Oreochromis niloticus: one gene and its partners. The protein of the gene in region 4 binds, or shares a complex with, the protein of the main gene of each other region. Links are inferred from orthologs where the notes say so. Each region holds a gene or a part of one and is shown on either strand. Other genes may lie near its edges. The genes, in order: kansl3, kansl2, ogt.1 and phf20a.

What was found.
Region 1: phf20a (region 4) and kansl3 share a complex: the UniProt entries of both Homo sapiens proteins name them as parts of the NSL complex. The link is inferred for Oreochromis niloticus from reciprocal best matches to the Homo sapiens genes PHF20 and KANSL3.
Region 2: phf20a (region 4) and kansl2 share a complex: the UniProt entries of both Homo sapiens proteins name them as parts of the NSL complex. The link is inferred for Oreochromis niloticus from reciprocal best matches to the Homo sapiens genes PHF20 and KANSL2.
Region 3: phf20a (region 4) and ogt.1 share a complex: the UniProt entries of both Homo sapiens proteins name them as parts of the NSL complex. The link is inferred for Oreochromis niloticus from reciprocal best matches to the Homo sapiens genes PHF20 and OGT.

The regions. Positions count from the first base shown.
Region 1 is NC_031977.2:13,605,905-13,613,881, forward strand, and holds the start of kansl3 (KAT8 regulatory NSL complex subunit 3), read left to right. Parts: upstream 1-4,971; 5' UTR 4,972-5,224; exon of another isoform or gene 5,225-5,231; intron 5,232-5,308; exon of another isoform or gene 5,309-5,331; intron 5,332-6,059; 5' UTR 6,060-6,122; coding exon 6,123-6,334; intron 6,335-6,448; coding exon 6,449-6,619; intron 6,620-6,704; coding exon 6,705-6,795; intron 6,796-7,977. UniProt on the Homo sapiens protein: Non-catalytic component of the NSL histone acetyltransferase complex, a multiprotein complex that mediates histone H4 acetylation at 'Lys-5'- and 'Lys-8' (H4K5ac and H4K8ac) at transcription start sites and promotes transcription initiation.
Region 2 is NC_031984.2:6,824,423-6,832,122, reverse strand, and holds the start of kansl2 (KAT8 regulatory NSL complex subunit 2), read left to right. Parts: upstream 1-4,683; 5' UTR 4,684-4,815; intron 4,816-6,177; 5' UTR 6,178-6,184; coding exon 6,185-6,435; intron 6,436-6,608; coding exon 6,609-6,781; intron 6,782-7,321; coding exon 7,322-7,436; intron 7,437-7,700. Other genes in the region: ccnt1 (cyclin-T1), read left to right, coding at 89-252, 340-410, 496-1,806. UniProt on the Homo sapiens protein: Non-catalytic component of the NSL histone acetyltransferase complex, a multiprotein complex that mediates histone H4 acetylation at 'Lys-5'- and 'Lys-8' (H4K5ac and H4K8ac) at transcription start sites and promotes transcription initiation.
Region 3 is NC_031966.2:27,677,151-27,684,756, reverse strand, and holds the start of ogt.1 (UDP-N-acetylglucosamine--peptide N-acetylglucosaminyltransferase 110 kDa subunit), read right to left. Parts: upstream 3,019-7,606; 5' UTR 2,709-3,018; coding exon 2,672-2,708; intron 1,314-2,671; coding exon 1,133-1,313; intron 433-1,132; coding exon 189-432; intron 70-188; coding exon 1-69. UniProt on the Homo sapiens protein: Catalyzes the transfer of a single N-acetylglucosamine from UDP-GlcNAc to a serine or threonine residue in cytoplasmic and nuclear proteins resulting in their modification with a beta-linked N-acetylglucosamine (O-GlcNAc).
Region 4 is NC_031970.2:31,064,962-31,072,393, forward strand, and holds the start of phf20a (PHD finger protein 20), read left to right. Parts: upstream 1-4,423; 5' UTR 4,424-4,598; intron 4,599-5,087; exon of another isoform or gene 5,088-5,227; intron 5,228-5,249; exon of another isoform or gene 5,250-5,708; intron 5,709-6,632; 5' UTR 6,633-6,656; coding exon 6,657-6,739; intron 6,740-7,369; coding exon 7,370-7,432. Other genes in the region: arhgap46a (rho GTPase-activating protein 39), read left to right, coding at 184-378. UniProt on the Homo sapiens protein: Methyllysine-binding protein, component of the MOF histone acetyltransferase protein complex.

The DNA of each region.
Region 1 (7,977 bases), on a different chromosome or scaffold from region 4:
CCAGTTAGTTTAGTCACACACATATTAAGCTCTCTGTCTAAGTGTTCAGTGTTTTCATGTTTTAATTACTTCCTGTCTTATTTTGATAGTCCCTCATTGGAAACAAAACATACCTGTAATAGTAAAGCAGTGACAACTCATCATGTGATATCGGAACTGAATATCTATTTACCTTGAAGCAAGAACTAAATCATTTTCCAAAAAATGCTGCCTGACCTTTGAAATTAAACAGAAGGGAGGGGTGGTCTATCCTACTGCCTGTAAATTCCAGTAAGCTTGCATGCAAACTGTGTTTGTTTAAACTTGGCATATCAAGTTATTTCTCCGATTTAAAAGAAATAAAGAAGATCTGAATATTGTCAGAAATGTACAAAACAGTTGTTTTGTACATTTCTGACAGGCTAAAATGATATAAATTATGGAAATAAGCAGCAATTTTATAAGACTTAATGTTTACTGGTAATTAAATGTACAGAAGTAATTACTTAGATGGTGCCTAATCAAACTGCAATGTTTGTTTTCCTCTGAAGAAATACTTGGCTCTGGCTCTGCTGCTGTGCACTCTGCTGTCACTGACAAATAGTGAGTGCATCAACAAAAAATTATAACCTGGTAAGAAAAAAACTGAAATAACACACAGAGATAAACATACACTCACATTTTTTAGTTCAATAGGAACTGTGCCAGAATAATATCTATCTATCTATCAACCCATCGTAAGGATGACAATAACAATTGGCATGCAGTGGGATCTCGATGGAGAGCTAATTGTTGGGACTGTACTTGCACCAGATGTTGCCGTGCATTAGTGTTTACATTAAATTACTGATATTTAAATAGATGGAAAAATCAGTTATATTTGACTTTACATGATGCACTGTTAACTGTGTGTCTTTTGCATTATCACAGGTGTGCCACCCCACAATGGTTCCCTGATGACTGTGTGTCAGTGTTTGACCCAGAGGCATGTGAATATGTAGTGCACAAGAAAGATGACCCAACAATACGGTGTCCAGTTTTTAGTGCAGTATTGAAGTGATTCATTTTTTTATGGTGTTCTGAAAGTCTGAAGATGGGCGTTTCATATAAATGATGCCTTTCATATCGCTTTCGTGCCATTTTTGAGGAAGAAAACATATTCAAAATGCCTGTTAATCGTTTTAGATTCTTGAACAAGAATTCATATGATGCATGTTTGGTGAGTTGCATTGAATGTTAACAGAGCTAAATAAAAAAATGTTGGTCATGGTTCTTCTCATCTAGCGTTGACCACTATCATCTGTCTGGGTTTCTCCTTCACTCACTCATTCACCGACTCTCAGTCACTTTTTCAGCTCAGGCACCTCAACCTTCAGTTCCACAGGCAGCTTGAAAGTCTGAGCCAGAGATCTCGCAATCTGTCACTCACCAAATAACAGACGTGGGAATTATTAAAGGAAAAACACATCATTACTATACTTTGGGAGAATTTTCAAGTACCTTTGCTTTACTAGAGTATTTATTAGTTAATATTTCTGAGTATTAATAGTATTATTATTTATTCTGAAAACTTTTCACTTTTACTCCCTACATTTTTACACAAATATCTCTACTTTCTATTGCTGTATATGTATCTGTATATGATGTGAAGTTATGGGTTTTTTTCTGGTTTAAAGATGAAAGGGCATGGAAACTGGCAATATGTTGTTGAATTCAGCTCTGCAAATCTACTAGAGTTCATGGAAATTATTGCGAGTTGTGATTCTTTTCCCCACGCATAGTCACTAAAACCCCCATCTGCCGAATCCCACTTTAACCCCTGACTATACTCACTTTTCTGTTTAGGTGCGGAGGCAAAGTCACCCTCTACAATTTAGGCAGCATAAAATAGAGGGTTTTTTTTAGTTTTTAGTTTTCTTTGTTTGTGTTCAAGGTGGTTTAATGCATTAGAATTAGAAATTCAATTGAACTAGAGTTCTAATACAATTCTAATATTGTGTTATATTGAATAGCATGAAGTCCTTTGCACAGATGGAAATGCCCAACAAAGAGCTACTTTTAATGTATTATTTTGAGATTTCAGAGCCTGTACTTTTTCAGTTTTACTTGAGTAAGAAGTTGAATCAGTATTTGAGCTCTTACCAGAGCATTTTTTAATTATGTATCTGTACTTCTACTTAAAAAAGAGTGTCTGTATCTTTGCCAACTCAAATCGTGCAGGAATCAGATAATAGTAGACTAAGCTGCTTCACACTTGGTGGGTGTTTTACGGATGCAAAAGAAATTCTAGCATCGAGGGGATGAAGTCGCTTGGAGCAGTAGTTCTCATAACTTGGCTCAGACATAGTTTTGGTGTGTGTGTGTGTGTGTGTGTGTGTGTGTGTGTGTGTGTGTGTGTGTGTGTGTGTGTGTGTGTGTGTGTGTGTGGTGAAGTTTTTAATATTAAAACGTTATTAGAAGAATAGTTAAATTACAACAGAAACTATGTAAAAAAGCTGGTTGTGATGGTCAGAGAGCAAGTAGATGGACACAGTGGTGTCAGCCATTGGTTTTAGACACTGCACACTGATATTATGAAATACTTTTTAGCTTTCTATATTTTAAACGCGATTTCACCTGGACGGGAGGATAGATTAAATTATCAAAATGCAATTATGAACATTACAGTTGCAACACAAAGAAATATTGCTGTGGCAGTTTTTATAAAGGTATGTCACTGCGGCACACTCTCAGCTCCAAATACAGCCAAGCTATAACAGGTTATTGTTAGAAAAGAACAGACATTTAAACGACATGCGACTTCAGTCTTGTAAAATGTTACACATGATTTTAATTGAAAACTGTCATCCCTAGTCAGTCTGCTACCAAAACATATTTTCCTCATTGATTTCCTTCCTTTCTGATTTGTTGGTTTTACCAAATCTTAAACTGAACCCAAACTAATTTTAAAAAAATCACCAGGAGCCTCTTGTTTTTGACAGTTATCCAACCCTTGAGAATACCTTCACAGACACCTTTATTAGTGATATGATCTATGACTTTATTGTATAATCTATGCCTCAAACCCTCCTTTCTGTAACTTAGACTGAATACAATTCATAAAACAGACTTCTTACCCAAAATTAGTGACTGAGACCATAATCTTTATTGAGAAAATTTTTAATGAGGTAAAAAGCAAGGGTCGTTTTCTGTAGACTTCTATAGGCTTATTAGTATTTTTGCAACTTATTGTTCCATTTTGGCTGTTAAAAAGAATGTAGGTTTAATGCACATTCACACTGGCTTCATGGTGGCCATATAGGGGACACTAAAAACATTGGAGTGGCACACCAAAAACAGAATTTTCATTTTTATTATGCTGTTGTCAAAAATAGGTTCCTTGAAAGATATGACAAAAAAAGAGAGACAGAAAAGAATTATATCCATCTGTTCACTTCCACTTATCCTTTTTCAGGGTCACACTATCCCAGCTGTCTTAGGGCAAAAGGCAGGGTACACCTTAGCCAGGTCGCTAGTCTGTCGCAGGGACACAGACAACCATTCGCACTCACATTCACACCTATGGACAATTTAGAGTTTCCAATTAACCTATCCCCACTAACTGCAGGTCTTTGGACTATGGGAGAACCCACACAAACACGGGGGAGAACATGCAAAGTCCACATAGAAAGACCCCTGATGGTGGAACTGAACTCAGGACCTTCTTGCTGTGAGGCAACAACAAGGCTAACCACCTTGCCACCGTGCTGCCCTGTCTAGTTAATTTCCTTCTATTAAAGTTAATATCAGTGAAAACAGGTACATATGAAAACCAAATAATAATAATAATAATCTGTTTTAAGCAGCAAATAACAAGTTAATGTTTCAGCTCATTGCAGGGTGTCTTCCTCTCTTTTGTGCTCACTTTTATTAGAATTATTACCAACATAGGACAGCCTTGCAAGGCTGTGTCTGGTGGCGGATGTGTCTGGAGCAGATATGTAAAGTCCAAAGTGGCCCCAGGGTTAATAGTATTAATAGGAGCATTAAAGCATTATAAAACAACAATGGGTGCAATTTGAAAGCTTACGGTTATTTATAGATTTTTTCCTTCTCCTGTCGCTCTGAAACCGGTTCATTTCTCTTGTATTTAATTAATTGTAGTTTTTACACTGAAACAGTGGCTTTATTATTGGTTTAATGAAAAGCTGTACGGAACAGGATCCGGTGTTACTGTCACTGTCATCATTCACTGATCTGGAGTTCTGAAAGTGAAAGTCGGTTACTAATTTTATTTTTCTTGTTATTTACAGTTTAAAAAAAAATAAGAATTTAGCAAGGGATAGGGGGGCGTGCAGATGGGTGGCAAGGAAATTCCTGAAAGCAAATCGCATCATTACATTACCTCTTTCAATGATGAGGATGTACACATCCTGGACAGGGAGGATCGCTGGTTTGAGCGCGGAGTGAAAAGGGAAAGACCATCTCTGAATCGAGGAGGGGGCCTACGGGGACATCTTTCGCCATCTTACAGTGCTGTGATTGCAGCCATTCCCCAACTCTCTGTGAATAGTACTCATGCCCATTGATCAGTGGTTGTTGATCAATGGTCATGAGAATGTGCATAATCATGATGAAGGAACTGACCTCCCAGCCCATTGTTCATTCAGTGTTAGTTTCAGTCAATATGCAAATGTACTGTTTATAAGACTGGGGAAACCTGCAGTCAGCTGAGACTGAAGAAGTCACTTGGATGAGTGACGAAACTTTGCTCCCACTGAATACGTTATGTCCAGATGAACAGAATCAACCTTTGAAGAATGACATTACCTACGAAAAAAAAAGTCATAGAATATACTGTACATATAATTCTCTTGGAAATGGTACGATTCATTTTTAACAAGTTACAGTTACGCACATTTCATGTCATTAAATCATGTATTTTATTTCTGGGGGGACCGATAATAATCCAGACTTTTATCAATCCAGTCCATATTTTGCGTCATTCTCTCTCTGACGCGCCACGATCAGGGTTGCCAGTTTGGTAGAAACAGCAGGCCTGACTGAGCCGCTTGAATTTAGGGCCTAGAAAGGGAGGGCGCGGAGCCTAACAAGGCAACGAAGCGAACAAAAGGAAGTGGCTTTTACGAGCTAAATGTTTATGTTTCATATAACCTCTTCCATTGCCCGGTAAATACGCCGTTCTTATATTTGCTTTGCTCGAAGCAGGAGCTGAAGCCGTCGCGGCCAACATGGAGTGATCAAAGTAAGAGGTAAAGAGCGGAACACCATTTGCTTAGCTTTTAGCTCGCTATGATTATGCTAGCATGCTAGGTCATTACGCAGCTTTCAGTCGCGGGTGAATTTGCGAAGGTATTTGTGATAAATATTGAACCTATTATACTTAACCCACGTATTAAGTGGGACGTTCGGTTAGTTGCCACACGCGACTCAATATGTTGTTTATAATGGCAAAATAATATCTAGTACATGGTAGAAGCTAATGGGTGGTGCTTACAGAGTATAAACGTGTTAAGCGTCAGTCTGTACCAGGGCTGAACCTGTTTCGCTATTGCTCATTGTGCTGTTTTGTTAGTGATTTTATTGTTGCTTTCTGGGGGGTTTTAGGCTGTTGTTGTTCTTGTTGTTGTTTTTAATCAATAACTTATAAATAAGTTATATTTGGAGCTCAACCCGTTGTCAGTATGCATGAAAACTAGAAGTTGTGTAAGTGCAGACCCTTGAATGTGCTCGCTTCCACAGAGCTGACTGTAGTTCAATTATTCTGTTGTCTTTCTGATATGTCAACACTTAAAGGGTGTTAAAGGCTTTGTTTGGGGCTATTTTCCTACCACAAACTTTATGGTTTTATGATGTAAGAGTTTCAATATTAAAATTGATACAGATCTTTTCACACACACACAGTTTTTCCCCACATATATGTGCTTGGGCGTGTGTCTGTGTTTTCTATGTTTAACAGTATTTCTGTAAAATTAGCAGAACCACTTTATGATCAAGTCATTTTTTGGCAGACAAATGTGATAATATTCTTGGATTGTCTTACATAAAATACAAAAACAATTCTTCCCTTCTTCCCCAAGTTTGTCCTGAATCAGCACCAGTTGTTGAGGTCTTCCCGGGGCCCTTTGGGGCCCAGGAAGAGGATGCATCGTGGTGGAGATAAAGACTTCCAGACCTCAGCTCGAAAGATGGGCACATCCTTGTTGTTCCAGCTCTCAGCCCATGAAAGAGAGTTAGATTTAGTATTTCTGGACCACAGCTATGCCAAACCATGGAATGCCCACCCAGATGCCAGCAGTGCTCGACCCACGAGGACGCTGTTTGTTACCCCACGTCGCCAACCTGAACCCGTTTTGTGAGTTAAAAATGCTCCTATTAGGCTACTTCTCTTTAGCCGTGGTAAAATTAGTCATCTGATGAGCATTTTTAATCACTTGCAGTGATGTGGTATTTTTTTCTTTTTCTGCAGAGATTCAGATTCTGTAATAGATGTGGAAACTGTAACTCCAACACCCGTTCCTCTATATGATAACCACAAAGCCCTTAGTGTGATGAAGGAGTGCGAGCGGCATGTCCTGTTTGCTCGTACAGTTGCTGAGAGTCCCCCGCCCCCTGATGACTGGGAGGAACATGTAAACAAGTAAGCAAACGCCTCAATGCTCCACATGTGCATCATGCAAAGTGATTCACTTACAGTAAATCACTTTGAAATAATTCTGCTTCAGGACTGGATGGACAGTGGCCCAGAACAAATTGTTCAACAAGGTCATTAAAGCTCTGCAAGCGGAAAGACTAGCCCGTCTGGCCAATGAAAATGTAAGTTTTTGTTCCGTTGTTGTTGTTGTTGTTTGTTTTGGGGGGTTTTGTTGTTGTTTTTTAAATCAGATATTCTCAAAAGTGATTCACATCTTCTTTGTTTGACTGTGAGAAAAGATTTAACAGTTGAAATGATATATTATAAATAATATTGCCACTTTGTGACAATATGCTGTTGCCTAATATCTAAATATAGATATACTCAGCTGATGCAATAATAGAATATGTGCCTGCATCAGTAAATTAAGAACATTTTTAAATGCAGAATCTGTTCTGTTTGTGAAACCCATAAACAAACACACTTGTATATGAATGTCTGATTTAATTGTCTGTTCGGTTTTACATATGTGGCTGCAGCTAAGTTATGAGGATAAGTTACTGCTGTTTGAGATTTGCAAAAGATGCATTCAAGCCCAAGGGGAGTTGCATGTTTATCCATCTGCTGAGATCTGTAATGCATTGTAGTTCATCACAAAAAGTTAGTTTGTAGTGAAGCACCCCCTGTTTGACTTGCAGAACAGACTTGCTGCAGTTATTCTCCCCAAGATTAGTTAACACAATCCCCCCCTTTCATTCTTATTTTTGGGGTTCATTTTAGTTTTTCTTTGAGGGCTTCAAGTGTCTAAAAGTGTTGTGCAGCCTGGCTCTGGCCCTTGGGTCATGTTTTGCCTGTGTGTGATGCAGGTTTTGAGTCACTAGATCTGCCCAGAGAATTGCATACCCTGCTCCTTTGCATACCCTGCACTTTGGTTGATACATTTAATAAACAAAAATGAAGAAAGCTACTGGGTGATGTACCAGGGCTCTAGAGTGCAACCAATTTGGTCGCAAATGCGACCAAAAAATTTGGTCACACCGGTGCGACCAAATATTTTCGGGTAACAAAAAAAAAAAAATCTCTGCAACTCTCCGTGTGGTCAACAACAGACACACATTATGCCCCTATCGTGGACTAAACCAATCAGAGATAGTCAGGGGCGGGACCTCTCTGATTGGCCGTGGTCCAGTTGAAAGTGCAGGTGGAAGAGAGAGGTGAGTAGCTTGAATAAAGCCATATCAATTCATTAACGGATTCCACACAAAGACGTAAACACAGAGCGGACCCGACGCATCAGAATCAGCTTTGTCTTTCTCGGCTTTCTCACCCCACGGCCCGAACACGGACACACTGCCGGAGCTTAG
Region 2 (7,700 bases), on a different chromosome or scaffold from region 4:
GTGTGTGGTTTGTTAAAGCTCAACACACTGATTTTCTGTTTTCTCTTTCCCTGTTTGCTTTTTTTCTTGGACGTATCATGCCATATAGCCTGCACTTGACAACGTTCTGCCTGCAGTATAGTCCACCTGTTGTAGCCTGTGTGTGCATCCACCTTGCCTGCAAATGGTCCAACTGGGAGATCCCCGTGTCTACAGATGGCAAACACTGGTGGGAGTATGTCGACCCTACAGTTACCCTTGAGCTGCTGGACGGTATGTGCAATAAATGCTCTTTAAGAAAAAAATGTTTAGATAATTAAAGGGCTGATTTGACTTTTTTTTTTTTTCCCCCACTTCCAGAACTTACACACGAGTTCCTGCAAATCCTGGAGAAAACACCCAGCCGACTGAAGCGAATTCGCAACTGGAAGGTACAACACAAATTTACCTGCTCCTTTTTGTTATTAAAAATTCCCGATTCAATGTGGACATTGACTGACTTTTTTCTTCTTCCAGGCTGGCGGACAGACACCAAAAGCCAAGCCAAAAGTCCAGGAGGAGGGTGACCAGAGGGACACCATGATCAGCATGATTTCCATGGCTTCATCAGAGAGTACTGTGGCAGGCCTGATGAGCCTCTCTGCTCCACCTTCTGCCTCCTCTTCCTCATCAGTGGGCGACAAGGACACGAATGCTTCTGGCAGTGCTCAGACTTGGAGTGGAAAAGGTCAAGGTGGATCTGAGCAGCAGTCACAGCAACCACAGCAGCAGCCTAACCATGAGGTCCACGCCCCAGCTAAGGTGTCGCTGAGTGAGTACCGTGCCAAGAATGCTGACGTCCTGGCTGCCCAAAAGAGAAAGTTGGAGAACATGGAGGCCAGCGTAAAGAGAGATTATGCCAATGCAGCTCAGGCCCTCATTGGCCAGCAACAGAGGAAGGAGAAGCAGCAGCATCACCATCATCCACCCAGCGCTTCCTCTGACATGTCCAACCCATCACCCATTATTCTTAAAATCCCCTTGGAGAAGGAGAGGCATGATTCTCTAAAAATGCGCTTCCCAGTTGCTGGAGGATCAGGAGGAAGCAGTGGACATAGCAGCAGTGGTCGAGGCCAGGATCCAGACATCAAAGTCAAAATCCGAGTGCCTGACAAGCAGAGGGGGACTTCAGGAGAGGATGGCAAAAGCAGGGACAAGCACAGGGAGCGTTCTAACCACCACCACCATTATCATCACTCTCACCACCACCATTCCTCTTCCAGTAGTGCCTCACTTTCTTCTTCACACAAACATTCATCAAGTTCCAGCGGCACGCTGGGAAGCAGCAAAAAAGTACCAAGTGACTCCTCTAGAACAAGCTCCTCATCCTCGTCCTCATCCTCATCTGCCTCACGCAAGAGGACACACTCCCAGGATCCTTCAGCGGGATCTCACCCACCCTCCAAAGTGAGCAAGTCTAGGAATCCCTACCAGTTACCTCCCCTGTCTTCCTCCTCCGGACAAATTTTGGGGCATGGTTCTGACATTCTTCCATCTCTGGGCCTCCCCCACCACCAAGGAAGCTATTCGCATTCCAAAAGCGACAAAACTGACACTAATGGTCACAGTGCAGCTGGCGGAGCCCAGTCCAACGAGTACCAGGACACTTTTGAGATGCTAAACTCACTGCTGAGTGCACAGGGTGTGCAGCCGTCCCAGCAGTCTATGTTTGACTACAGATCTCAGTATGGTGATTATCGGTACTCGAGCAGCTCCAGAGGAAACAACCCTAGGCCCCCTCCCCTGCCCACGGAGCCGCCTCCCCCACTGCCGCCTTTGCCCAAATAAGTTTCTAATCAGGAAACCACATTATGTACATTTTACTTGACATCTTGATCATCTTGTTACATAAAGTGTTGTATGATATTTTCCAGCCACCCAACATTTTATAGTCTTCAGTGTGACAGCAGAGAAATGTACTGGGGGTAACAAAGGATTTTATGGCGTACTCGTGGGGCAATAATGGGACTTGCAAAATGTGAGACAAAAAGAATTATGGGAAAGTGTAGATAGTGTTTTGTTTTTTCTTTTTGAAAAATTCAAATGATATGTGACAAGAAGACGGGAATTAGAGGATGTCAATGTGTTTGGAAAAATTTCCATGACATACCTGGTTGGTCTTCTAAATGATTCTTTTTATAATGTTTTTATAGGGTGTTATTTATTGATCAAATGATTTTAAAAAAGAAAAAAGGTCCCCTTTTTCTACCTTTTTGTAGGGTTAAACCTCTGTTCTTTTGGAACAGATGGTCATTTCTTTAAGACTGTACAGCCTAGTTAGAGTGCATGTCTCCAAAGCCATCTTTTCGATATATTTTTTACTTTATTTTATTTTTTCCTTTTTTATTTTTTTTTGTGAGCCATAAAAATGGCTTCATCCCTTATGTATATGTTATATTTGCTGTGCTATTTGGTGATTTGAGGAAAAAAAAATGTAAAAAAAATGTTTAAAACAAACATTGGAACCTTTATATTTGCAAATTTGCAAAAAAAAAAAAAGGATGTAAATTAGGAAAAGCTTATACTTTTCACTTTAAGTTTTTATGTCTTGCAGTCATTGTTTTAAATGGTTGTAAAATATTCATATTTGGTTCTTGAATGGATACACTAAGTTCATAGCAAGAACATTCATCTGTTCACAAACGGTTGAAACATCTGTGCGCTTTGGTCACAATGAAGGAAATGCCAACAAAAAGAGCATCTGTCTAGACTATTTCTCTTTCCTTATTGTGTTTCCTCAGGAGTTCATTTTTTTAGGGTGATCACAGGTAAATGCAAAGACAAAGAAATAAGCATCATATATGGAAATGTATAATTTTCAGAAGACAAGAAATTATGTCAGGAAAAACTTTTTCCCAGATTTGCTAGACCCTACTAAGCACAGTATACAGAGTTTTAACATCGTATAAAAGTTCATAGCTCATCTGTTTATATCTAATTGTGGGGATGTTTTAAAAGTGTAAACCCTAGTGTAGCTGTCACTTCACTCTGGTCTGATTTAATCATGTTAAACTTGTCTTTCGATTGCATTCCTCTAAACTAAATTGGTGGATATTTAACGTTGGTTTGTTTTATTATCTGCCCACATGCCATCATTCATCATAAAAACATGTTTGCATGTTTTCTGTGGTTGTACAGAATCATATGTGACCAGCAGGTTATTTATATACCTCCACTTCTTGAGCATGAAGGCCAATACCCAGATTTTGTTGGCAAGATAAGCAGGTTATTGCCTATTCATAAAACTTTTAATTGTTTAGGATTAGTGCTCTTATTTTACAGTAATGTAGCACAGCAAATCAGCCGTCCAGCTGTATATTTTACCCCCTTCATATATTTGAAAATGTGCTTGAAAAGAGAAGCTTCTTGCTCATGCAGCAGAGGTTTTATTATTTTTGGTTGTAACAGGGAAACAGTAAATGCACTGAATATTTATCTCAGTAGGTTTGCCTACAATGCAATTGACAAAGTGTTACGTGTATAATGGTTAGACTAATAGATTTTCTGGTGTGAAATTGCCACTGTTTTTGAAACATTTTGTTTAATCTGGGCAAAGCTTCCATTTTAAGTATTACCATTTTGTTGTGAACAAGCCACAAAAAGGACACATTTCATATTAAAACCCATATGTAAGAAAAAACGGACGACACTCATGCAACCTAACAATGCAAAAATCATATAGCTACAATAAATTTCATGTGTTTTCATGTCTTGGTGTTTTCAGTGACACTCAGGTCTGAAAAAGAAAAAGTTTTGAGATTTTTTTTTCCAGTTTAAAATATGTGAACACTGTTCTTTTTTGATATAATGTGGTTGCTTTATTCTCAAAGTCAATAAAAATATTTTAAGAAAGTGCTTCTTTTTGGCTCATCAATAACATTGCATTTTATAGGTGAACATCAAACTCTGCAAAAATATTGTTAATGTTAATCTATGCCAGTGATGTCAAATGTGGTCTAGGAGCTTGATCTGCCCTGAAAGAAAATCCAGTTTTACCCATTATATTTCGCAAAAAATTATGTTTGAGGGGTAATACAGGCATTGTAGAGCAACTGATGAAATTGCACTTACTCTACTTGATATATCATCATTTTGTAAATGCATGGTGTGTTAAAGTTTTACATTTGAATGTTTTCGAAATATACTTTTCTTTTCTTCTATTTTTAAAAGATATGGGATATTATCCAGTGGTATTACAAGTGTAGCCCTCTTGAGGTCAAGTTGTGCTCTAAAGCAGCGGTCCCCAACCCCCGGGCCTCGGACCGGTACCGGTCCGTGAGTCGTTTGGTACCGGGCCACGAGAGTTGAGGCTCGGGTGTGAAATGTATTGTTTTCAGGGTTTTTATCGGTTTTCAGCGTTATTTTGTTATCGTTTTTATCGTTAACTCGGTTTTCCTGGGTCTTTTCACGTATGTTATGAATAAATCTTCTTTTTTTCGGTACCGGTACTAGTTTTATTTTGTTGTATTTATCCGTGACACCTTAAAGGCCGGTCCGTGAAAATATTGTCGGGCATAAACCGGTCCGTGGCGCAAAAAAGGTTGGGGACCGCTGCTCTAAAGAGTTCGAGACCCTGCTCTATGATAAAAGTGTAAATGGATTGGGTGGATGACACTTTGAATGGCAACTGGATAGGCCAATGGGCTACCTCACTCCGGCGCACTGGCTAATCGGATCTTTAGGTGGGCGGGGTTACTTATTGTAAGCGGCGGCTGTGGCAGTTAACAGGGAATGCAGGAAAATCGACGTAACAGTGTTCTTCGGGAGACCACGCTAGCTCGGATGTCCGAGACAAAGGTAGGCGGCCGCAAATAGAAATTAGCGATATGTTCATGTTCTGGCATACAATCACGTTGGCGTTATGGAGGAATACGGCAGTTTTTTGGCACCGACCTGCTATCCTCGCTGCAAAATGAGAAAATTAGCATTTAGCTGCCGTTAGCAGCGATTGATCAAAGATGGCGACTGCCGTCTTAACTGTTAAAGTGACGCAGTAAGGAGAGGCGGGCTGAAGCTCGGTGTGGCGCCCGGTTAGAGTTTATCCATTAACGCAGAGAGGAGTTTGTCTCCGCGATTTATATCTGAATTAAAAGAAAAAGCCGTTCTCTCTTACATTAATGCGGCCTTTATTACTCTGTATTACTTATTACAATTGCCTTTAGGTCGTATGCGTAATATTTATAAGCTTTTACTCAAGTTAATAACGACCAACTGACATCGCCCAATTAAACGTCAGTAAACCAATAACATGAAAACATTGTTTTATTTTTATACAGCTTCATTTAAATTTAAGTACTCATAGTGATTCGGTCTATGACACCTTATGTGCATATTTTCTATATATTTTTTTTCTATTTTGGTTAAATTTGGGATCAAAAGGCGAAAAACCACGAGTATCTATCCTGGCCATTTAAGTACAGTGTAATTGTTCAGAAAACCAGTTTAAAGCTTTCTGACACGGTATGTTATCCTGCTGGAAGCCGCCATCATGAGTGTTCTGGTCATAAAGGGTTGAACATTGTCAGAATCGGGTATGCTGTGGGATTTTAACAAAGTGTGCGTAGAACGACCATTACACCGCCACCACCAGCCTGAACTGGTGATACACCATAGGATGGAGCTTCATGTTGTTTACATCAGATCCTGGCCTTTCAATATATATTAAATTGACCAGACATTGCTTTTCCAATCCCCTCCTGCTTGCTTTAGCTTACAGGAGTATCATCATCCAGTCTTCTGCTGCTGTAGCCCATCTGGTTTAAGATTTGACATGCTGTGGTCTTCTGCATACCTTGATTAAACAAGTGGTTATCTGAGTTTCTGTTGAGTTCCTATCGGCTCAGTGCAGTCTAGCCATCCTCTTCTAATTTCTTTCTATTGACATGTTGCTGCTCACTGGACATTTTCTCTTTTTCATACTGTTCTCTATAAACCCTAGAGTTGGATCTGTGTGATCCATCTTTGATCAGCAGTTTCTGAAATACCAGCCTGTTGGTCACCAAAAATAGTAGTTTGAATAAAAATACATACCAACATTATTCCAACATTCAAACAAATGTTTTTATAGGTATTCTTGCAGTTATTCATGCATGCAGCCATACAAACATTTGGTGTGAACAGGAAAAATGTATTTATTTTTGTTATTAAATTTACACGCAGGCTTGAAATGAACAGGATACGAATCCACGTTTTGCCCTCAAGTCGGAACCGGGTGACCCAGACACCCCGACCTCAGGAGCCACAGGCTTGCTCCTTCACCCAGCGGCCCTGCTCTCAGCCACGACTTGAAGGCTTGGACTTCTGCATCAAACACATCTTGGAGGACAAAAATGCGCCTTACAAACAGTGCAGCTACGTCTCTGCCAAGAACGGGAAGCGGTGTCCCAATGCCGCACCAAAGGCAGAGAGGAAAGACGGGTGGGTGGAAGGTCCAAATCAGCCATTAACAATCGTTAAGAAGAAATTAAATCTCATCATTATCTGCTGTGAATCTCATTAATGGGAACTTAGTCCCAAGAGAAGGGGGAATGTAAATAAACTCATCAGTACCACGCAGCCTCCTAATTTCAATTTGAATGTCTGTTCTGTAGAGTGACCTTCTGTGCAGAGCACGCTCGCAGGAATGCCATGGCTCTTCGAGCTCAAATGAGAAAGGCGTCTTCTGGTCCGTCACCAGAGGCCCTGCTGTCTCAACTTAGTGGGTACAGCCGAGCAGAGTCACACAGCCTTGATGGAGGACGCTCTGAAGCCAGCCGCATTCTAGGTAATGGCCACTTTTTGACTTGGAAATAGTAATTTGGGTGCATGTGGGTTAAGCTGATGTAGTTGTACAGACTGTTTGTTGTTTTATTAGTTTTATTGGTTGGGTTATTTGGTACACTTGTGGAAAGATTAAAAAAGTTTATAGCTCATTAGTTGTTCTTTAAATGTTGTAAAATGCTGATTTATTTCCTGTTGTACGAATACACTAAGTTCAAACTAAGGACATCCATCTCTTTGCAAACGTCTGTAATGGTCACAGTGAAAGAGTTATTTTGTTTTGTTAGATTTTTTTTCCTTGTCATTTAATTCCCGTCATAGCTAAATGTCAAGAAAAAGTAATGAACATTATCTATGAAAATGTATCATTTTTAGCAGTGCCTATTACCAGACAAGTTGTATTTAAATTGTAGCAAGAGAAATAACTAGCATCAATGATGTTAAGAGTGTCAGAGGACTCTTAAACGCACACGTTTGTGTGGGTGATGTTAAACATGACCTAAAGTGTCAGATAAAAATACCACTAATTCCTCCCTCTTGCTAGATGAGGACAGTCTGAGTGAGGAAGAGCAGGGGCCGTTGGTATTGGACCAGACGTGGAGAGGAGACCCAGACAGCGAGGCTGACAGCATCGATAGTGATCACGAGGATCCTCTGAAGTAAGCTCTTAAGATTTTCTTCTCAACTCACATTGTGTAGTTATGTAGTTTGAATAAGAATCTGTAGTTCAAGATAGAAGGCTTAGGCCATGTCCACACTTATACGTTTTTGCTTGAAAATGCGTCTTTTTCTCTCCGTTTTGGCCTTCCGTCCACACTGAGACGGCATTTTTGGTTTGAAAACACTCTCCAAAGTGGATAAATTTGAAAACACCGTATTCGCGTTGCAGTGTGGACAGCGAAAATGGAGGATTTCGAAAACAG
Region 3 (7,606 bases), on a different chromosome or scaffold from region 4:
CTTGGCCTCTTCCAAACGCCCGAGGGCTTTAAGCAAATTCCCCAAGTCACTGCGCACACAATATAGATCCTGTGGAGATAAAAAAAAATAAATTACTATTTCAATAAACAGCCGATTTGTGGCCATTCTAACTAAATACATGTATAGGGCATTGGCACATATAATTTAGAAAAAATAAATTAACTCACTGGGTTGTATTGTAATGCGGAGACATAAGCCTGCACGGCTCCCTCCATATCTCCTGCGGCCACCAGAGCTGCAGCCAAGTTGATGTACCCATCGATAAAATCTGGCTTGAGTCTCAGAGCATGGCGATAATGCTCTATTGCCTCCTGCAGCTGCCCACGCTCCTTGTACACATTCCCCAGGTTGGAGTAGGCCTCAGCCAACATTGGGTTCTGCTTGATGGCCAAGGTACTGAAGTGAGCGGACCTGCAAGGAAAGATTATGCACAAACGGTTACACTCCAGAGCTGACACAGTTGGTTCAAACTGCTGTGTAGAAACAACAGCAAGGCCCAAGATGTTAAAGAACAGAAAATTAGTTTAAGATGCATTGTCAAATATGATGAAAATCCCAAATATCAAGACACATTAACATGGGCCACAGCACCTGAGCAAAACTCTTTATTCAAATGTCTACTATGCAAACTAATTCTCGTGCAGGCAGTACAGCCCAACATAAGTTATGATGAAAATACTGCGAAGAAGATCACCATGTTCAATCTGATCCCGTGAGCCGTCATGGAACATTTTTACTAACCAACAGTTTTTGGGGTCAACAACAAAAGCATGCAAGTTAAGTTTAGCATTTATATTATGGTTAAATACCAAATTCAACAGCATTACAAGACTGTAATGCTACTGGCATTGTCCACATTTAAGGATTTGAAATGAGTGAAAAAGCATTTAGATCATGTTACTTGAAAGACCCAAGCACCTGAAAAGAAAGGTTACACTCCCACCACCAGAAATGCACAAAACCCAAGTTAAACCACATAACAGGATTTGCACAAGACAGCCCAGCTGCTCCACAGGACTCCCCAGTGTGTGCACTCAAAGCCAAGACGACCCATTTTTCTCTGCTACTGCTCACATGCCCAGTGTGCTTTTCCACCCCCCCAACACCTCACCTGTCGAGTCTTCGGCACTGGAAGTGGATGGAGGACAGGAGCAACAGCACGCCTGTGTTATCAGGCTCCTGCCTCCACAGCTGCATGCAGTGGCGCTCAGCTGCCTCAAAATCCCCTGACTGATACTCCCGGTGCGCCAGCTCAGCCAACCCTTGGAAGGAAAGCATACGTTTTGTTGGTTCTGGAGCACCAACATAAGCCAAGGAGGGGGAAAACGACACGTTAGAGGTGATGGAAAAAATTAAAATCAGACAAATGATAACAGAATTTTTTTTTTTTTTTTAGAGGAAAAAAAGACAAATGCTTTTATTTAAGAAGAGTGACTAACAATTTGAACTCAACATAAAACAAGGTTGGGGTTGGGGGGGGGGGGGGGGGGGGTCATGATACACATTTGGGGATTTTACATTTTATTGTGTTTGTAGGACTCACAATAAAGTCTAACAAATAAAAAAAATGGAGGAAAATAATGTGTGATGGGAAAACAGGCAGGCAGATGGATGAAACAGGTGTGAAAAGTTCTGGCAAAAACCCTCCATAACACATTTTGGATGTTTAGTAATTTCACATATCAAATATGTACTTTTAAAAAAACAACAACAACAAAACACCAGATTACTTTATTGTAACTTATTCTAATACAATTTCTAATTTTTTTTGGCCTTGTGTAATAGTTTTACATACAACTATGGTTTTATAACTACCACTTCACAGTGGTAGTGAACACATCAAAACGCTCTGCTCCAACAAAACGAAATAGTTACTCCAAGGTGGGGCAGAGAAAACAAAGCCACAGCATACAGTTAAACTTTTATTGCAGGGCTAATAATGCAGTAGATCCGGTTTGCTCAAGCGTTCATGACACTTACGTAACATTACTTGTGGAAAGAGTATAGCTTAAATTGCTTAAATCACCAGTCACAATGCGCGTAAATGCCGGGGTTCAGAACATTCTGGTATCAGTATCGCCGATAACCTTTGGGATAAATGCTACCATTAGCCTAAAGGCTATCTGTGCTAAGCGGTGAGGCATGCGGGGCCAACTTCAGTAGCAAGGCCCCCAGATTACAAATTTCAAAGACATCATCAAGCCCCTTTGTGCTAACTTAGCTTTTACAGCGACCCTTAAACATGAAACAAAAATGGTGCACCCCGAGCAAACCGCTAAAGCACCTTCGTGGAACGCTGATTCGTCTGCATTAAAGTGTGACTAGCAGACAATTTACGGCTACTTCGACGCAAACCTGTGCTAACCGCTAAATTACGCTAACGTTAGCTTTAGCGCTTTTATTGTCGCGATGCGAGGTAGAAATTTGAGCCCGCGTTGCTATTACTAACATGTTCTTCCACGTTGGACAAAAGACAAATTTAATAAAAACGTGGCTAAAATGGTTTACCGATTTTCTTTTTTTTTTTAAGGTCTATTTGTTAGATACTAGCTCGATCGCATCTAAGGGGGAAAAACCTACACAAGGACACCGTCTTTGAAGCTTGCCTTGTTGCCTTCTGTGTAGAATTACTTGCATAAAAACAGCAAACCTGTGCTGTCGGCCACGTTTCCCACTGAGCTCGCCATCTCCTCGGTCTTCGAGTCTTGCACGGTGGTCGTCAATGTGTCCTCTAGCAGATAACAATTTCAGAGAAAAAAAAATTGCGACAAGCAGCAAACACGCTGCCCGAATAGCTATGCAGATTTAGCTAAACTAATGTCCTAACGTATGTTTTTTTTTTTCCCCCCCCTAAAGCGACAAATGTAGATCTCGCAGTGGTTAGTATCAGCTGGCTAATACCCAATCAATTGTCTTGCTGTTAAGAGGTCGTTTTTAAGCTAACATGTTACGTGCTGTTTGTTAAATGGCTCTTGCTAGCTTCCCCTTCCCAACAAAGCAGCAGTGAATCATAAAATGGCGAGATGGGTGGAACTCGTTTTTGAGATAAACTAGATCCGTTCACCGCCGTTACCGAGACACGTGTGTAAAACTGTAATAAATATCGCACTTAGCGATATAAAAATATTTCAGAAGATTTGTGATTACATTTTTCTTCATTTATCGCGTGTTATTTCTTTGTTTACTAAAGTTTAAAAAACACATTAGGAACGATGCTGCGCGGAAGAACACATTGGTGCAGTGAGACGGAGTGCAAATGGAAAAAGCCAGCAGAGAACCGGTTGTAAGATTCACGAGGCAGATCATCTATGGATTGTAACGTGTTACCACAGCCGCACGAGTCTGGCGTGCAGATTGGCGGTAACACGGAAGGAGAATAATGTGAGACACTGACATTATATAACAGTGGGTGGATTCTGTTTAAATTACGCAATGTACAGCTGAAGATCTACGCGGCTGTGCTATGTAGATAAAAGAGGCGCAAAAACTGAAGTGGTAGTGATGTTACCTAAAATACAATTCAAGAATTACATTATGCAATTATACAGTACTGTGAACAAGTTGTCACAGATCATTCAGATCATCAAGCAAAGCTTAATATTAGACACAGATTAATGAGATAAATTATGATTTATTTTAGTAAATAAATCCCAATTTGTGAAAAAGTAAATGCCCTCGAAACCTGTTTTTAATCCAGACTTTGACTAAGCCACTAAAATATCTTTATTTTGCTTCTGTTTTTGTTTTTCTTATTTTTTAAGTCATTTAGAAGTGGACTTGGTGTGTTTTGTATCATTGTCCCACTCATAATCCAAACAGGCTTGGGCTTCAGGACATGAAGTGCTAGCCAGACATTTTCCTTCAGGATTTTCTGGTAGAGAGCAGAATTCAAAGTTCCATCAATTACGGTAAGTCGTCCCTGTCCTGGAGCAGCAAAGCAGCCTCAGACCATCACACTACCACCACAGTATTTGACTGCTGGTATGATGCTCCATTTGACCAAATACTGTGTTAGTTTTATGCTAGATATAACGGGACTCAAACGTTCCCAAATGTTCAGCTTTTGTCTTGTCAGTCCAAAGACTATTTTCCTTAAATTCCTAAATATATGATCAAGATGTTTTGTTAGACGAGTCTTTGTGTTCTTTTTGGTCAGCGATGGTTTTCTCCTTGAACTCTCCCAGCTCTCTTTCTTATTTTTTAATCATAAACTCTGACCTTAACTGAGACGTGTGAAGCGGTTCTTTAATGTTGATTTGGGGTTTTTTGTGACGTCCTGGCTGAGTCATCGTTGCTCTCTTGGAGTAATTTTGGTAGGCCGGCAACTCCTGCAAAGGTTCACCTCTGTTCCATTTTTTTCTCTATTTGTGGATAATGGCTCTCACTGTGAGTCACTGGAGTCTCATTACCTTAGAAATCGCTTTCCAAACCTTTCCAGACTGATAAATGTCAGTGACTGTTCCTTATCTGTTCTCGAGTTTCTTTAGATCGTTCCATGATGCGTTACTTTTTGAGATCTTTTAGCAAACTTCACTTCTCCGATAGGTTCTATTAAGTGAGTTCTTGGTTCGACAGGCCATTAATCAGGCCTGGGTGTGGCAGGAGAAACTGACCTTACTATTTTTGATAAACGTGGTTAATCACAGTTAGTTCATCATGGGGAGGAAGGTAGATAACTTTTCCCCTAATAAATTTCTTTCTTTCTATTTACCCAGGTTATCTTTGCCTGATATTAAAATTTGTTTGATGATCTGAAACATGTGATTGTGAGAAATATGCAAAAACCTAAGGAATCAGGAAGGGGGGAAAATACTTTACACTTTACAACTGTGCATACTTTAATGAGCAGATCAGCTGAAAGTGTAGAAAAATTTAAGGAATGGAAAATAATTTCCACATATTCCAGATATTTGTTAGGGACAATGTTAAGCCATATAATTTCTTTAATGTTTGGGATTGTTTCATTGTGGGACAAAGAGGGGTGGGGGTGTACAGGGTTTTTTGTTGTTTTTCGTTCCATCTATTTCTAATTTCAATACCTGCATGACTCCCCAACACAATAGGTGTAGCTTTAGCATAAATTCTGAATTAATTAAGATAGAAATTGGTTTTCAAAAACCTTTGTCAGCACAGGCAGTCAGCTTGGGTGTACAAGCTGCACGGTATGCAGCTTTTTGGTGCAACTATTCTGCAGGATTCATAATCACCAACAGAGGGCAACCTTTGTAAACCCATTTCTTAGATTCAGATCCGGAGCCTTGCAGACTGGCCTAAGACACTGTGCATTAGATCTTTTTATTTCTGCAACATGTGTCTGTAGTTGGAAATGTGATGTAATGTACTACTAAGATGTTCTTCCTTTTTTCACAAAACTGCAAGAATCCTTTCTATGGTTTTAAAGCTTTACATCAACCAGCATCAGAATTTAGTGACTGTTTTGTATTCAAACTAAGTGGTTATGTACAACAACTCTTTGAGTGACATATTTAATGTTACCTTTTCCAATTAAATGTGAGGGATTAATATGCCATTTATGCTAGAAGATGTTAAAAAGGGGGGCTGCACCCCAGTTTTTTCCCATAGCCTCTCTATGGGAAAGCAGCTGACATCACTGCCCATGTTGGTTTTGCTCTGTGTGCTCAAAGCATGCACAGGGCGCCTGGTTTGTGTGCTCTTCTTCACGTTCCTCTGCTTTGCTCTCACTCTTCACACCGCTTCGTCGGCCTCTTGTGCACAGGATGATGTCATGGGTACCGTGTGTCTATGGCGATTGAATGTGACATGCTTTATCTTTGTGCAGGCTACGGTCACAAGGAAGGCAGTCAGTGTGAACGCATCTTCCCCTGCCGAAAGGGTCAGTGACAGCTCCGCACAACAGACCCTGCTTTCACACAAGCTATTTTAGGAAGCGTCCGAGAGCAAGGGGTCCGATCACACGTCAATTTGGATATGGCGATATCAAAATCACAGCAAAGCTGGGAGATATTTGGAGTCCGTTGTGCTGCTAAAATACCAGCCCAGAAAATTCTGCCACCAAATGAGTGGCCTAAATTATTTCAGCCCATTTATTTTCGGATAAGATCCAGTGCAAGCTGATGACCCACATTATTAGCAGTGTTTTGGAATGCTTTACTCGGGGGTTATTTGTTTATTTGTTGAATATTTTTGTTGCATTCAGTCATTCGTACCTAAACGGGTACGTATTATGCTCATTTCCACTCTATATTTTTATTCTTGGTCACCACTACTTTAGCTTTGCATCCATTTGATAAACACTTATCCAGTTCAAGATCAGAGGAATTGTGGAGCCTTTCATCTCATCCACAAACCGAAACAAGCTTTTTTAGCTCTTCTCCCTTTAAAACAGAGGAGCATTATTATTGATACCATATAAAAAAGAGCACTATGAAATCCTGGGTCTGCAGAACATGAGCTCACTCTACACATGTTGTTCTGTAATTAGTAATTTTCACATTCCTCTGCTCTTTCCAATTCTGAACATCAAGTATTTCAGAACCTGTCTACAGTTTCACATTAATGGATCCTTTTGATTTTTATGGCTGTAACCTTGTTGAGGCACTAACCCAGCCACAGGGGAGCTGCAAGCAAGTATACGGCTAATGTCAGTCCCAATCCTGGATAAATCAGGAGGAATGGTGTTTGCCATAAAATGAAAAATGAAGACAGGTGTGTAGAGGTTAGACTAGGGACTTTAAATACAGGGGACATGGCTGGTAAGTGGAAGGAGAGCTGGCTTATATGGTTGAGATGGCAAAGATAGAGTAGAGAGACGAAGTTGAGACAGTTGGGATTTGCAGAGGTGAGATTGTGGTTAAAGTGAACAAAGGATGGCACCAGGCAGGAGGAAAAGGCGAAGAATATAGAGAGGATTCATGGATGTAGTGAAGGAGCGTATGCAGAGGGCTGGTATGTCAAAGGAGAATGCTGGGGATAGGATGAGACTGATGCAGAGGATCAGTTGTGGGGAACCCTAAAGGGAGCAGCTGAAAGAAGAAGAGCGTTGTTGAGGCATTGTAATTCAAAACTCATATATTCTATTTACACTGACGATAAGTGTTAGTTCACAAAGAAGTTGAATTTTACTTTAAGATGATTACATTTTATGAGGAACATTCTGACTATAATGAGCAAGCTGCAAAAAAACCCCCCCCAAAAAACCAATCATCTGCATCTAGGCAAATAAATGTCCCATCTGCATCTGCTAAACTTGCCTTTGATTACAAACTACAACGAGCAAGAAAGGAAAGAGATCCAGACAGAAGTCCTGAATTCACACAGAACACAAATATCAGGGAAAAACCAAATGGCTTCACAAGATTGCTAATAAGAAAACATCCATCCATCCATCCATCTTCTTCTGTTTATCCAGCTGGCTCATGGACAGCAGTTAAGCAAAACACCCAGACTTCTCTCTCCCTTGTCATCTCCTCTAGCTTATCCAGGGGACCATCGAGGTGTACCCAGACCAGCAGAGAGATGTAATCTCTCCAATGTGTCCTGCCCTGGGGCCTCCTTCTAGTGGGACATGGCTGAAACACCTCACCCAGGAAGCGACCAGGAGTCA
Region 4 (7,432 bases):
AACAGAGTGTTGGTTGACTCTTAAAAATCTCATTGATTGATTTATAAAGTAATTATATAATAAAACTGTTGAGCACTTGACCTTTTTAGATGATTTAATATGACTCATGCATAAGTGACATAAAGTTCAGACAGTTCACACACCTGATTGCTTTTCCTCTCCCTCCTTCACTTTTATCTCCAGGTATTCGCTCAGCCATCCAATGTCGCAATTACCAAGATGGATGTGAACAACCTGGCCATGGTGATGGCTCCCAACTGCCTCCGATGCCAGTCCGACGACCCACGGATCATCTTCGAGAACACCCGCAAGGAGATGTCCTTCCTGAGAATGCTCATCGTTCACCTGGACACCAGTTTCATTGAAGGGGTGGTGTAGAGGTTGCAAAGCACAGAGAGTGCACCTCAGGGGCTGATCAGCCCTCAAACGTCTCCAGTTATATATTTAGAAGCATGCAAAAACACTGTCTCTCTGTTCAGACTGCACTGGAAACTGTTGAGGTGACATTAAACTTCTTACAACACAAGGAGTTCGAAAACCGCTTTAGCTGGGACTTTGAGCCCTTGCGCTCTCCTGCTTTCTTACTGAAAGACAAACACACCACCTTAGGATTCACTGATTTTGATACTAAAATCCACAGTGACTGCTTACAAGTGGTTCACTTTAATGACTGTATTTTCTAACCGCTGCATGTGAAGAGGTTTACCTTTATTTCTTATCTAATTGGTAGTATTATAGTTACATGGGACAACTGGGCTGTGCAAAGTACAAAATTAGTTTCAGAAATTCCTTTCTTGCACAAAAAAAACATAAGGCAGCAGTGTTAACGCTCTGCCTTTTTTTTCTTTTTTCTCCTCTCCCCACTCCCCTGGTTGATTTCATTCAAGCGTGTGTGATTGTCAGCGTGTGAACAAAAGGCACAGCCTTCTATTATGTACAGAAAATTGAACATATGAAATGTAAAAGAGATCTTGTAATGGTGTCTTGTTAATAAGCTTGCCTGTGCTGTTTTGAGTAGTCGTACTGATAGCCGGTCTCCTCGTATTTAATTTTACGAGGCATATAAAGCCGCTCCACCGCAATTATTCTGATAGACTACAGAGGCTTCATTTCAAAGCACAAACTAGAGGGATGTGCAGAAAGCTCTTGATAATGAATGGTGGCAATTTTCTAAGCAAATAAACATGGAACTACTTTGATTTTTCCAAATTCAAACGATTGCCGAAGCCAGACGGGAGTGTTAATTCTAATTACAGCTCACGCTGTAACGACGTGAGAGGCTGGTTATTCAACTGATAATACTCTCTCTATTATCTGTAAGATAAATTTCAATTGGAATAGAGTTCTCTTGTGTTTGTGGTCCGTATGTAATGCTTTTTTTTTTTTTTTTGGCTCAGGTCTTACTATAAAACGGGTGTTAGATGTGAGAACTGTACATGGCCTCTCTCTTTCTCTCTCTCACAGACTGAAAATTTGATTAACCTAACACAAGCCTCCTTCACTGAGAATGGAATATTGATTTAACTGTCAAGTGCTATGAGAATGTAAACTGAGCTTATTTGTGACCCTCTTTAAGGCTTTGTCGATGTAAATATTTTACATGTAAAATAGTAGTAACTTCCTGTAAGTGTATTCTAATGGTCTGGGTTATGGGTGAGCTTAACTGTTGCTGTAAAAGAGCAATAAAAAAACTTTTGTGTTGTAATTAACTGATCATTTCTCTGCTGTAACCGCTCATCTTACGAACATAGGAATGATTCAAACCACTTTCCTTGTACATGCGTGTATGTGTTGGCATACTTTCTCATCGTAATAAGGAATGACTGTCCATGAATAAAGATTTGTTCAAAATTACTGTTGGATTCCCTAGTGTGTGTAATTTATTTGTATTTTGATTTTTTTGGTTTGGGGCAGTTTGCCTTTATTCTGGTAATAATAGTTTGGAGAAAAGTATGGAAGAACACCAAGTAACAAAGTAACGAAGTCCTCTGATACCAGGTATGAGGTATGATAAATCACTAATCATTCATTTTCAATCTAATCCTTTACCTGACCATTTTCAGAGGAATGTTTTTGTTTGTTAAGTTGGTTAACAATGTCCCATGAATCATTCACAGGTGTCACAATTGTGTGATAGGCCCCAACCCAGATATTTTCTTGGGCCATTATTAACATGTGGGTGGCTGTGGCTCAGGAGGTAGAGCAGGTTATCTGCTAATCAGGAAGTTGTTGGTTTGATCACTAGGTGCTCCAAGTGTCCTTGGGCGAAATACAAAAGCAGAGTGCGTTCATTGGAGTGTGAAAGCACTTAAATGTGTAAAAAAAATAAATAAAGTGAATGTGTGCTCTTTGAGTCCTCAAGCACAGTAATTTATGAATGGACACATTTATCTAAGCTTCTTCAACTAGGCTACCACAAGCTAAAAACAGATTTAGCTTTGCTAAAGTAACACAAAGACGGCTGTAACGCTCGCAAGAATATAAGAAATGAACCACAGGTCAGACTGCATGGATGGGTCACCCAACCAAACCTTCACACTTGTTTATAGAATTCTTCATTCAACAATTTGCAATGGACCAACTTCTGCATATATCGTCTTGATGCATTCTCAATCATCCAGGAAAGTAAATCTCCAAAAGCTGAATCTGTTCATCTGGACGTAGCGTTTTGTGGGAGAAACGTTTCGTCACTCATCCAAGTGACTTCTTCAGTCTCAGCTGACTGCAGGTGTCCCCAAACCTTATAAACAGTACATTTGCATAATGACTGAAACCAGCCCACTGAAGGAACAATGGGCTGTGAGGTCAGTTCCTTAATCATAGTTATGCAAATTCCCATGACCATTGATCAACAATCACTGACCAAAACCCACTGATCAAAGAACACTGATCAACACTGTTGAATGGTACTCATGGCCATTGATCAGTGGGCTTTAATCAGTGGGTTTTGGTCAGTGATTGTTGATCAAAACCTGCAGTCAGCTGAGACTGAAGAAGTCACTTGGATGAGTGACGAAACGTTTCTCCCACAAAACGCTACGTCCAGATGAACAGATTCAACTTTTGGAGTTCTGCATATATCACACACATACATGACAGTGTGAGTGGATGTTTTCATGCAAGTGGAAACAAATATATCAGTCCTGTTAAGCTTTTTATTCTAAACATAATTTTAGTACATAATACATACATAATTTTTTAGGACCTTGGCTAAAAGAGTTCAGTCTGTGATGAAGGATCATGATGATCATACCAAATAATGACTCAAGCCCATTAGACTTTTACATATTCAGTTTTTGCCTTATATACAGATTTTCTGTTTATGTTTCTTCATTTCAATAAATTACTGCACCTATTTTTATTTTCTAATTGTTTTTTCTTTTGTATATACTCTAAGATTTTATACTAAAATATTTTCTAATGTTAAAATATAAAATGTTGAGTTTTTTATTTGATTTAAGGGATTAAACTATTTTTAACTACTAAAGTATACACTGATACATCAGTTCAATGTAATCATTAGGGATTAAGTTTGTTTTTGGCTTGCATGTTACAAAAGATATTTAATAGCTATATTTAGCAATTTAAAATGTTAATGGATCTAACTCTCAAAAGCAGAAGTAATACGCCTTTATATTTCTCAATCAGCCAATGTTTTTCAGAAAGTAGTTTTAAACAGGGTCCTCTTGCAGTGTGTTACGCAATCACACCCAGAGAATGAGAATCCATTTTTCTTGTTTGTCCTTAGACTCACAAGGGAAAGAGTTAACAATCAGATATACCGGAACCCCCCCCCCCACACACACACACAAACACACTTCTCCACAGTTGTCATTGCCTTCACTGTACATGTTCAAATATTTATTCTTATGTTCATCACTACACAAACTTCACTCTGCTTCATCGGTCATTCTGGTGCAAAGCCCGAGCAACATAAACATTACAGCAAGATAATAGGAGCTCTGGGCTTTGCCTTTGGGACTCGAACAAGTAAAAGAAAAGAGATCCAGGCGAACATACACCGGGGAGACACTCATGTCCCCTGGGCATAGTCAGGGACTGAAAGCATTACTATTCTAAGTTCAAAACAGCAACTTATTTAGGAAACATTAAACACAATTTAACATTATACAAGGAACAGTTGTACTAAAAAGCCATTGAAATTCTGATTTTTTGTGCTTGTATTTATGCTTGTGCCTGTATTTAGACTTTATTACGGATTTGTACAGTATGTGACTTACATTTCTGATTTCAAATACTGTTTTTACATTTTTGTACATTTTCATAGTTATTACAGTTTATAATAGATAAAGTTTGGCAAATTGCAGGTTATTAAATATTTAATGAATATTTATCTATACATACGAAATGAAACAGACTATGAGATGAAACGTCCTATTGATATTCACAAGGGCTTTGGTCCGTTTAATGCGCATGCGCATCGCAGAAGCACACTGCCCGCGCCGGTGGCGAATGCAACGGGGAGAAATTTAACTGCGTGGTCTTGAGCTGACAGGCGGAGCCGGCGGTTCCTGCGCTTTTAATCAGTTACACAGCAGATTATACATCGAACCGGACAAATAGTGACTGGTAAACAGGTAAGAAGCTTGAATATCCACACTTTGCATTCGACAGATTTGAATTCCCAGTAATATCGTGACCGAGGCCCGGTTGGTGGGTGCATCAACAGCGGTATGGTGCCGCATGTCGGCTTTTTGAGTTCAAAACAAACGTGACGAAGTAGGTAATAAAATGTTATACGAGTACATATCGGTTTTGTATTTGTTATATAGCAGGTGTGCTTTCAGGTCCTACGGTCTTTGTTACTCTGTGCTTTGAAATGTCTGTGGCTGTTTAGTTGGAGAAGTTTATACTCGGCATTTCCACGCCGCGCGCACACACAGCCAGAAAAGTATGAAAAAGTAGGCCTTCTGCGAGGCCGCGAACGGCTCTGTGAATGACAGCTGCTCGCCCAATCAAATGTAAGCGTCCCGCCTACACAGCGCTTGTTCGACCAGTGGTGTTTGTCAAAGGGTCTGACGTAGGTGTCAGTTACTTTCGCGCTCCGCCCTCCGGTTATAAAACACTGGACAATAACGCGTCTATAGTGGTAGAAGTGGTCAACAAAAGGAAATCTGGGAAATGTCGAGTCATTTTAGAGTGTTTTTTCTCTTCAGCTTTTCCCTCTTTTATTAAGTTAGAAAATATCGGTTGAACGCTGTTAAAGGTATTGGGTGGGCCGGTGGTAAAATAGTATATGGGGTTCCGTTTTCCTCCGCATATTACAATGCGAAATGTGCTACTCCACACATAGTCTTAGTGGATAATTTTGAGATTAAAGTAATTTTATCACCTGTTTCATGTGCCCTGATTGTGGCATCTCACGTCTCTTGTGCGTCTTCTGTGTCCGTGTCGCTCCCGTCTGTGTAGCTCTCTGCACGCCAATAAACAATCGGTTTGATCTTAAATCGAGTATTTTTGCCGAGCAGACTATTGCTCGCCTCTTAATGTAGCGGGAATACCCTACGTGCAACCATAATGGTCTTTACCATTGTCTCCCATTGTGTCTATACGTGAAATCGACTGACCAAAAAAACACGTGGGCAGGGTAGTGTGAAGATATCCGGTTTGTAGGTTGCGCAGAAATCCGGAGTTACTCCCGACAGTCTCCGCTATGGTGAACCGATTAGGCTCCGTCGTGGACAAAAGTAAGACGCTGTGGTGCATGGTGTGATTCTTTAGTTGTTTAAATAAAAGGCGCCGGCATGTCAGTCTGTCCTGTGTACGTACGCATGACAAAAGAAGCGATGTTATCGGGAGGATTTGGGTCTATTCCTCTGATCGACTCCAATGACCCTCATTATTTTTTATTTTTATTTTTGTTATAGCTGAAATGGTGATCATCAGCGTTATTCTTTATCTGACAACGGCAGTTTAAGCAGAATGTGCTGTTAAATCAATCCCGTGTTAGCTCGGTGCAGAAATGTCTTCCTGCTGTAGTGGTGAATGCCTACAGTGAGCACATTATCTTTGTCATTCTTGAACCTTCTTTCGATGTGTGTGGTTGATAAGGATACACTGAAATCGCACTGTGATAAATTTGATTAAAACCGCTTAGGAGTCTGTGTGAGGACATTTGATTATTTTTATTTTTTTAAAGACTCCTATTCTTTGAGGTAGTGTTTGCTGAACATCTGGTACTGGCTACATATTCACCACCATTTGAGGGGCATGGCTCACCTTAATATATCAGTTTTTAATCTCTGCACACTGTGCCACACCATGTAACAACATTTGTAATCTGTAGCTTGTATAAGCCTACAGTGGTAGTATTTTTCCCTTGCTGGACAGGGTTATTGTTCTGCTGGCACAAAGGGGGTGTCTTACATTGGTATTCAGGTTTAAAGAGTGATTTATTTTTCCAGTCACTTGCTGAAATATTTAGGAAAGACCTCAGGCACACACAGAGGTGACTGCATTATTATCTGTAAAGACCTCGACAGTCGTGTGTGTGTGCACGTGTGTATTGTGTCCCTTGTTCGGCACAATATATGTCTCTTAGTTGCAAAACAGAGGTCATATGAGTGCAGATTCTTTTAATGGTTAATGTGTGTGTGTGTGTGTGCATACAGGAAGGGTGCCTTGATGTGGGCAGTATGAGTAAGACGCCCCCTAACAGAAGAGGGATAACATTTGAGGTGGGAGCTCAGCTTGAGGCTAGAGACAGCCTCAAAAACTGGTGAGTCATGGCCTCACTCATTCCTCTCTCATCCATTTTACTGTTCCCTTCCCTCTCACACCTAAGTTTCCGTTCCTTGTTTGTTTTTGGGCCTTTATTACAGTAACCGTAATGTTTTAAAAATGTTGATGAGTGTTCTCAAGGTGTCCCTTAAGCTCAACTTTGAACTGCATTATTAAGGCTTGTGAAAATCATGTAAAAACATGTTAAATTCTATTTAAAGGAATGATTCCTTTAAATGTGTGATAAGACTACATCATTAGAACACTGCTATTGCAAAGCTAAGTGGGAGCAGCCTTTTAAAATATAAATGTCTTTTATAATAGACGTGCACTCACACGGTTATGTATAAATGCAGTTGATATTGTATACAACAGTTTAGTACTAAAGGTATAATTTAAAAATGAAAACTAACTCCACTACAGTAATGTGTAAATGCCCAGCACACCATCCACTAACTACAGCTGTGCCATGGTTCATTGTTTTTTATGTGTTTACATTTTCAAGCTTGATTTCATTTCTAAAGCCACCCTCATTATATGTTTGAGATAAATGATAAGTGCTCTAAATCACTAGACTTGCCATTCATTCAGCCTTTCTATAAACTAGCCATTGAATTTCTTCCTGTAGGTATGCTGCCAACATTGAGAAGATTGATTATGAAGATGAAAAAGTGTTGATCCATTACCGACA